Linked DNA regions of Coturnix japonica. The protein of the gene in region 2 interacts with the protein of the main gene of each other region in a biochemical or structural test. Links are inferred from orthologs where the notes say so. Each region holds a gene or a part of one and is shown on either strand. Other genes may lie near its edges.

The links.
Region 1: of the proteins of DAPK3 (region 2) and PAWR, one has a biochemical effect on the other in vitro, tested with the Homo sapiens proteins (2 studies listed by BioGRID). The link is inferred for Coturnix japonica from reciprocal best matches to the Homo sapiens genes DAPK3 and PAWR.

Annotation. Positions count from the first base shown.
Region 1 is NC_029516.1:35,855,525-35,859,335, forward strand, and holds part of PAWR (PRKC apoptosis WT1 regulator protein), read right to left. Parts: intron 3,539-3,811; coding exon 3,391-3,538; intron 2,012-3,390; coding exon 1,907-2,011; intron 1-1,906. UniProt on the Homo sapiens protein: Pro-apoptotic protein capable of selectively inducing apoptosis in cancer cells, sensitizing the cells to diverse apoptotic stimuli and causing regression of tumors in animal models.
Region 2 is NC_029543.1:799,328-803,884, forward strand, and holds the start of DAPK3 (death-associated protein kinase 3), read left to right. Parts: upstream 1-1,614; 5' UTR 1,615-1,629; coding exon 1,630-1,855; intron 1,856-1,954; coding exon 1,955-2,054; intron 2,055-2,473; coding exon 2,474-2,834; intron 2,835-3,485; coding exon 3,486-3,615; intron 3,616-3,819; coding exon 3,820-3,868; intron 3,869-3,969; coding exon 3,970-3,996; intron 3,997-4,073; coding exon 4,074-4,226; intron 4,227-4,520; coding exon 4,521-4,557. Other genes in the region: EEF2 (elongation factor 2), read left to right, coding at 1-109, 278-460, 535-667, 863-1,056. UniProt on the Homo sapiens protein: Serine/threonine kinase which is involved in the regulation of apoptosis, autophagy, transcription, translation and actin cytoskeleton reorganization. Involved in the regulation of smooth muscle contraction.

The DNA.
Region 1 (3,811 bases), on a different chromosome or scaffold from region 2:
AACACAAGGTCTCTGCCAATGAAGGATGCATCTGTAGTCACAAGCTGACCAAAACTTCTAGAAAGAGCATTTCTCTAAACGTGAGGGCTGAGAAGTCAGGAAGCCAGGCAATAAAATGGCATTTAGGCTATCTGACCTGAAATTCTTTCCACGTCACTGCAATCTAACATGCAATAACAGCATTTTTTGATTAACAGGAAAGACAGAGCAATACCACAAATGCATAGATGGTCAAATTTCAAGACTTCCATTTAGGTTCTCTACAAGCAAAACCTTTTAAAAAGATCACTGCATAAGCTCACTAAGTCATCAGACCTTCTCTTATCCTCCACGTAAAGCATGTAATCCTGATGCCAGGTCTGCAGAGCCACGTTCTATGAAGAACAGATGGGTGTTTAAGCGCTCGCTCTCATGATCGCAGTTGCAAACATAAGCCTTAGGCAAATATGACTGCCACATTAACTTTCATGCCCTTCTGTCATGGGAATGATGTAATACTTCTGTAATTTTTTTGGTTTTTTACTATTCTAAAGCTTTCCCTTTTCTAAATTCACATGGATTGCTAATAGAAGAGCATTCAAAAATCCAAAAGCTAATAAAAAAGAAAGTGAAATTGTATCTGCTTTAATGGAAGTATCACTTGACACGTGCTGGTTTCAATTTTTGTAAAACAAATTATTAAGATGGTCTGAAAGTCAAAAGGCAGCTATTTCAATGTTAAGAAAAACCTGTGGGACTCAAGCATTAATAGCTGCACTGCAATAAAGCCAATACATCATGTTATAGCTATTATAAATGCAGCCCTGGCAGAGAAAAATCTCTCTATATATTATCTCCTACATTTAATGGAGACTGTCTAGGGAGTTCCATGTACACAATTCTCATTGAACATTGCAGTTTTAGTCGTTCTGTACTAAAGAGGTTTTTGGAATTACTATGTTTTGATTTTTTTTTTCTCACACAACAAACAGAAATTGTCATCATACCTAAATGCAGGCAGTACATGAGGCCTATTTGACTTTACTATGAATGTTTAAAGGTGATTTCTAATCAGACACATTATAGATTTAATTTAGGACATTATCCTTCAAATACAGTAGGAAAAGAAAATATCATTGCTTCTGGGTCAGTAGGCCTTAGAAACTGTCAAAACAGGTCTTAAAGCACAGGACTGCAGTGATTTGGGTGCTTCTGTGTTTTCTGCTTTCTAATCTCTGAGAAAGATCAGACATGACCAGCAGTATGAAGTAGCTCTGCCACCCATTACATTGAAGTGAACAGACTCCTTGATTAATACTGAAGTGGTCAGCTTAGATGTAAGAGATTCCTTGTCAGACGTAAAAATGGCATGAAGACCAATTCCTCAATTGGTCAACAAATCTCTCCAAAACAGACAATATTTCATTAGTCCTATACATTCCATCTTTCTTTATAAAAAGAAGTAACAGACAGCTGCTTTAGTCCTGTAGATTAGTTTGCTATCTTTTGTGTATGTTGATCTCCACTGTTTTAAGCAAATGCCACAAAATCAGAGTCTACCACAATGCACATGAAGTTATTGCCTCCCTCTACTGCTGGATTCACCAGGGCCATTTTGTTTAAGGAACACATGCTTTTGTAACCTCACTGTACAACAAACCAGCAACAACAAAACAGCAATAAGAAGGTATCTCAACAGTTAAAAAGTTCTGGAAGTTAATTACGACAAACAGAAGCCACCTGGGAAAATATAACTTACTAACAAGATTGTTGAAAATTACACAGCTTCAAAAACAGAAAAACCTAAAAACACTTAATTTTCTTGTGACCCTGCCAAGTGGTTACAAGAACCTGAAGAAAAGCACTGAGAATGCAGAGGATTTTATCCCCTCTTTATAAAGCACCAGGTAAGAGAGTATGTGCTTACTCTGTTCAATAAATCAATTTCTTCCTTCAGTTTTCCAATTACTTCCTCTTTGTCCTGTGTGATCTTCATTAATCTTACATTTTCCTGTCTCTCCTTTGCAAGTTCCTAAAAATAGAATATGCTGGTGTCAAATATAATTGTTTTAAAGACAGAGTTTTATGTTATTGCCATTCAAATACCACACCCTCACTACACACACACATACATAAACCACACACATACCTGTAATTCCGCTTCTACAGCAAGTCAAACCCAAAAGCCTTCAAGCCTTTACGTTGCAAGGAGCTAATGAATCACATCTAAGAAAATATTTTACTCGCATCAAACCTGTGTGATATCTCCTATTCTAGAGATGCTTAATTAATATCTCACTTACACATCAGTCCAAAATTGGGCGGGAGTCTAAGAGACAAATGTGTTAATGTAAAGTCTCGGTTTCCACATTTTATATATATATATATTTCCTTTCTTTTTTGTTTGACACCAGTTAATGTGGGAACAGAGATCTCATGAGATATGTGGGCTTCAAGAAAATTAAAATGAAAATGTCCATTAGAAATTCACCAAATCAGAGACTGAGACTCTGAAAAGCGATCCTTAAATCTTCGTCTATTTTCTGTTATTTGTAATCGAATTATCTTAGAAGAAAAAGGATTTGAATTTGGAAGATTACAGCATATTTCACTCAAATCTGGCTTCCTTAATTCTTTAGAAGAAAAAACAACAAAGCAGCAAATTTTCCATTTTCATCATTTAAAAAAACCTAAAAGCTTATTCAAGTTGCATTTACTCAGTCAACTTCTGCAGGGCAGGCCATAATAACTTTTTCCATAGAAACTCAAAAAACTTTGGCTAGTTACCCATAAAAGTCCACTACAGAAGAAGAAACAGAAGCTCATAATAAGGTACACAGATGACATACTCAGCCAAATAAGTTTTAAGTGAAAAATACAGCTTTAACATTGCTATGTTCTTTCAAAAATGTTTGTACTAAAAATGGCTGGAATAAAGAAAACTTTGTTTGAAATATATATTTTAGGTGCTGAAGAATTCAATGAACAACAAGGTAATAATTAAGTTTTATAACACTTCAGCACATCCAAAACAAGAAGTAAATCAGATGGAACATTGCTTATTTTCTGAACAGCCAGTGAGCCCCATCTCCCCCCGGGTTATTTGCCCTGTGTTTGTGTGTCATGAGGTACCCAGGACAAATTCACACAGCACAGGTGGCTCTCTGACTGCTTTAGTTTTACCTCAGCTATTCTGCACATCCACACCAAATGAAAACTAAACATTTATGATGATTAGAAAGCTCACATTCCTTCTGTCTGCTTGATTCTTTACATATATTTCTAGGCACAAGCAGCTGCACTTCAAGCATCAATCATCATTTTTATATTAACTCATTTCTGATTTCCCCACAGGGTTTCAAAGGTTCTTTATTTCAGATGTATACCATGCAGATGTTACTTGGTACTCACCCTTTCAAGTTCCTCAATCCTCTTTTCCAAAACATTACTTGGTACAGAACTCCCAGAAGAGTTTGCATCCCTGCTGTATCTGCTGTAAGTTGTCCTCTCCGTTCGGGAATACCTGTTTACAGCATCATCTTCTGGAGCATTACCTGTACTAAAAGGCATAGAGCAAAGCAGACACTTATTTACAGATTTAACAAAATAGAAAAGGTAGAGCAACAAAGTGCTTTCCAAAGCTCTTAAGAGGTCAGTACAATAAATTGCAGAGCACATTTCACAGCTTTGTGTTGGTGAGAACTCACTAACTTCATTGCCTTGGGGAATCACACACAAGAATGTCTCAAGATACAATCTGTATTAAGAAACTTGGGTGTATCTCCTTATCATAAAATGATGTTGTTCCCAACTTTCTTAGATTAACATTTTA
Region 2 (4,557 bases):
ACCTGACGGCACCGGGCCCAACATCCTGACTGACATCACCAAGGGAGTGCAGTACCTGAATGAGATCAAGGACAGCGTGGTGGCCGGCTTCCAGTGGGCGACCAAGGAGGTGGGGTGGTGTGAGTGAGTTAGTGCCTGTGTGGGTGTCAGCTTTGGAGCTGCTGCTCAGGCTGCCAGATGGGCTCAGTGCTGCCTGCAGCCGTGACTCAGAGGTGGGAGGAGCAGGATGAATGCTGCCTGGCCTGGTGCTGCCTCTCAACCTTCTTTTGCTCTCCAGGGTGTGCTGTGCGAGGAGAACATGCGTGGTGTCCGCTTCGATGTGCACGACGTGACCCTGCACGCTGACGCCATCCACCGTGGGGGTGGGCAGATCATCCCCACTGCCAGGAGGTGCCTCTATGCCTGTGTGCTCACGGCTCAGCCCAGGCTCATGGAGCCCATCTACCTTGTGGAAATCCAGGTAAGGAAAATCCAAGGAAATCCAAGGAAAGTGGAGTTGTGTTGTTTGCAGCCCCTGACCCCTCTGTCCCACAGTGCCCGGAGCAGGTGGTTGGTGGCATCTATGGCGTGCTGAACAGGAAGCGTGGGCACGTCTTTGAGGAATCCCAAGTGGCTGGAACCCCCATGTTTGTGGTCAAGGCCTTCCTGCCTGTCAACGAGTCCTTTGGTAAGTGTGTGCTGCCAGGAGCCCCATCACATCCCTGTGCTGTAAGGCCTGGAGCTGCCCTGGGGGGTGGGCTGTACATGGGGGTGCAGCTGTGGAGGGGGGGCTGCAGGACCCCGAGGGGCTGAGGCTCAGGGGGAGGCAGCTGGAGCTGTCAGACCCCGCATCCATCCCACTCAGCTCTGCTCTTCCCTCCAGGTTTCACAGCCGACCTGAGGTCCAACACTGGAGGCCAGGCCTTCCCGCAGTGTGTGTTTGACCACTGGCAGATCCTGCCCGGGGATCCCTTCGACAGCACCAGCCGCCCCTTCCAGGTGGTGGCCGAGACCCGCAAACGTAAGGGGCTGAAGGAGGGGATCCCGGCCCTGGATAACTTCCTGGACAAGCTGTAATCACCACCATCCCCATGTGCTGTCACTGCTGTGGGACTCAGCCTAAACACCATCCCAGCAGGCTCAAAGCGCAGTGACAGCTCTTTGCATTGTACTTAATCAGTTTCGTAGCGATTGGAGACTTATAACAAGAAAAAAAACCCCCACAAAACTGAACCGAACCAACCGAGCGCATTGATCCAGCCTTGGAGCTCTGTGTGTTGCACATCGTGGCCCATTGGGTGCCATTGTAACAATGAAAAGCGTTTCCACTCTGCTTCCATATTTATTTGACTTGAGGAATCTCTGCTTTATTGGGCTGGGGGAGAAGCTGAGGGCGGTGGGGGCTGCTCCCCCTTTATCTATGGGGGGGTTTAATGGAGCCCAATGGGGCCGGGGGGGGTTTGAAGGCAGGGAGCTGTTGTGTGTCATCGTCATCATGAGCATCAACCCGTGTATTAGTGCCACTGGAAGTAATAAATTTGATATGGTGATGATATGGCTCCTCCAACGTCGTGTCTCCTGCCGGACCCATCGCAGTGGGGTGTAGGGGTTCGATCACTGCGGGATCGATGCGGTATTGATGCGGGATCGATGCGGGATCGATGCGGGGCCGCCGGGATTCGAACCCGCGTCCTCAGCTCCGCCGGGGCGAGGCAGGGCGGCCCGATCCACGCATTCCAACATGACGTCACCCCCGTGGAGCCAATGGCAGCGCGCGAGGGGCGGGACATCTGGGATCTCGCAGCCAATAGCGGAGGAGAATGGGCGGAGCCGGCGGCTGTGCTGGAATGCGGCGGTGCGGGCGGGGGCGGCCCAGGTGGGGGAGCGGAGCGGGCGGGGGGTGCGGGATCGGAGCGGGATAAAGGGGGGGAGTGAGGGATCGGAGCGGGAATGAGCGGCTGATACCGGCCTGTAGGTGCTGAGAGGAGCGGGGGGAGCTGCCGGGCCGCCGCCATGTCCACCTTCCGGCAGGAGAACGTGGAGGAGTTCTACGAGATGGGGGAAGAGCTGGGCAGGTGAGAGGGGCGGGGGTGGGGGGTGGGATGGGGGTCGGGATGGGGTCGGGGTGGGGTCGGGATGGGGGTCGGGATGGGTCGGGATGGGTCGGGCCGTGTGTCCCGCAGCGCTGCGGGGTCTCCCGGTGCCGCCCCGCATTGATTCGGGCACGGCGCAGCGCTGCGGGTCCTTATATGGGACCGGGAGAACCGAGAGGGGACGGACGTCAGAGCGGGGAGGGGCTGCGGGGCTGCGTCCTCATCCACGGTGCCGGGGGGGGGTGAGCGACCCCGACCCCGACCCCATGGCCGAGAGATGGGGACGGGGTTGGGGTCCCACCGTGCTGCTCACGCAGGGCTCTATGGGGGCAGCTCAGCCCCCATATCAGTCCCTCCCCAGTCCCACACTGCGGGGCTGCCATCTCTCCCTCCTCCCCCAGCGGCCAATTCGCCATCGTGAGGAAATGCCGGGAGAGGAAAACGGGTCTGGAATACGCGGCCAAATTCATTAAGAAGAGACGATTATCATCGAGCCGCCGTGGGGTGAGCAGGGAGGAGATCGAGAGGGAGGTGGACATCCTGCGGGAGATCCAGCACCCCAACATCATCACCCTGCACGACATCTTCGAGAACAAGACGGACGTGGTGCTGATCCTGGAGCTGGTGTCGGGGGGGGAACTATTCGACTTCCTGGCTGAGAAGGAATCGCTGACGGAGGAGGAGGCCACGCAGTTCCTGAAGCAGATCCTGGACGGGGTGCATTACCTGCACTCCAAACGCATCGCACACTTTGACTTGAAGGTGGGGGGTCTATGGGTGTGGGTGGGAGCTATAGGGGCTCATTGGGGTGGGCAGATGTTGGTCAGCTGGGAGGCTGTCGGCCTTTTTGGACGCTGAGATGCTTTGCAGGTTTGTGGTTGTTCATTCATCATCTCTTGGTCAACTTCCATTGACCAACTACCACTGGTCAACTGTTGGCCAACCATCGGTCAGCTGGGACACTGCTGGCCTTCATGGCTGCTGGGACACAAAGCGTATGGTCAACTCTTGGTCAACTCTTGGTCAACTCTTGGTCAACTCTTGGCCTTTGTTGCTCTTGGCTCTTTGGCCAACCATTGGCCAACTGTTGGTCAATCGTTGGTCAACTGTTGGCCAACTCTGTGTCTGCTGGGACAACATTGGCTTTGGTGGCTGCTGGGCCGCACTTTTGGCTCTTGGTCAACCATTGGTCAACCATTGGCCAACCTTTGGTCTGCCAATGGGTCACCACTGGCCTTTGTGGCCATAAGGGAACACCATGTCTCATGGTCAACCTACAGCCAGCCATTGGCCAACCAAGACCCCGTTGGCCTTCTTGGCCACACATTGTAGCTGCCATGGTGTGCTGCTGGCTTGTGGAACACCTCATGTTCAGCACTGGGGTGAAGCACTGATCATCCTCCCCCCCTACAGCCAGAGAACATCATGCTGCTGGACAAGAACGTGCCCAACCCCCGCATCAAACTCATCGACTTCGGGATCGCCCACAAGATTGAAGCTGGGAATGAGTTCAAGAACATATTTGGGACGCCGGAGTTTGTGGGTGAGGCACAGTTTTGAACAGGGGGGGCTCAGAAATGTTGGCCTCATCCTGCAGGGATACCCCCAGGGGGGGTTATCTCCATGTGGGGCAGAGCTGGGTGCCCCATGAGTGTCCATACACAGGAGATGGATGCATTTGTGGGGACAGATATTTGTGTTTTCCCCTCCAGAATGAGTTTGTTGTCTCTCTTTTTCCTTCCTAAAGCACCTGAAATTGTGAACTACGAGCCGCTGGGGCTGGAGGCCGACATGTGGTGAGTGAGCCCCGGTGGGGGGTCAGGATGTCCCCCTCTGTCCCCTCTGTGCCATGTGGGGGGGACGCTGTGGGGCTCTGACCTCCTCTTTTCCCTTCCAGGAGCATTGGGGTCATCACTTACATCCTGTGAGTAGAGGGGCCGGGGGTGTGGGGTGCTGCAGGGGGTGGGGATGTGGGGCTGAGCATCCCCCCCATTGCTGCAGGCTGAGCGGGGCCTCCCCCTTCCTGGGGGAAACGAAGCAGGAGACCCTCACCAACATCTCTGCCGTCAACTACGACTTCGATGAGGAATACTTCAGCAGCACCAGCGAGTTGGCCAAGGACTTCATCCGCCGGCTGCTGGTCAAGGACCCCAAGTGAGGGTTGGGGTGCGGGTGTTGGGGGCTGACGTGGGTCAGACTGTGCCCCATATGGGTGTGGGGCATCTGTGGGGTCACCTGTGGCTGTAGTGGGTGGAAGGGAAGGAATGGGGTTGTGAGGAAGTGGTGGGTTGAGGGCTGAGCTGCACAGCCTGGCAGCCCACGAGCAGGGCCCCTGATTTTATGCCCCTCTGATCCCACCCCCCAATCCTGTCCCCTCTCTTCCTGTTCCCCCCATAACCCCGTATCTCCAACTCCATCCTCCCCTGTCCTGCCTTGCTGTCATTGCAGGAAGCGGATGACCATAGCTCAGAGCCTGGAGCACCCC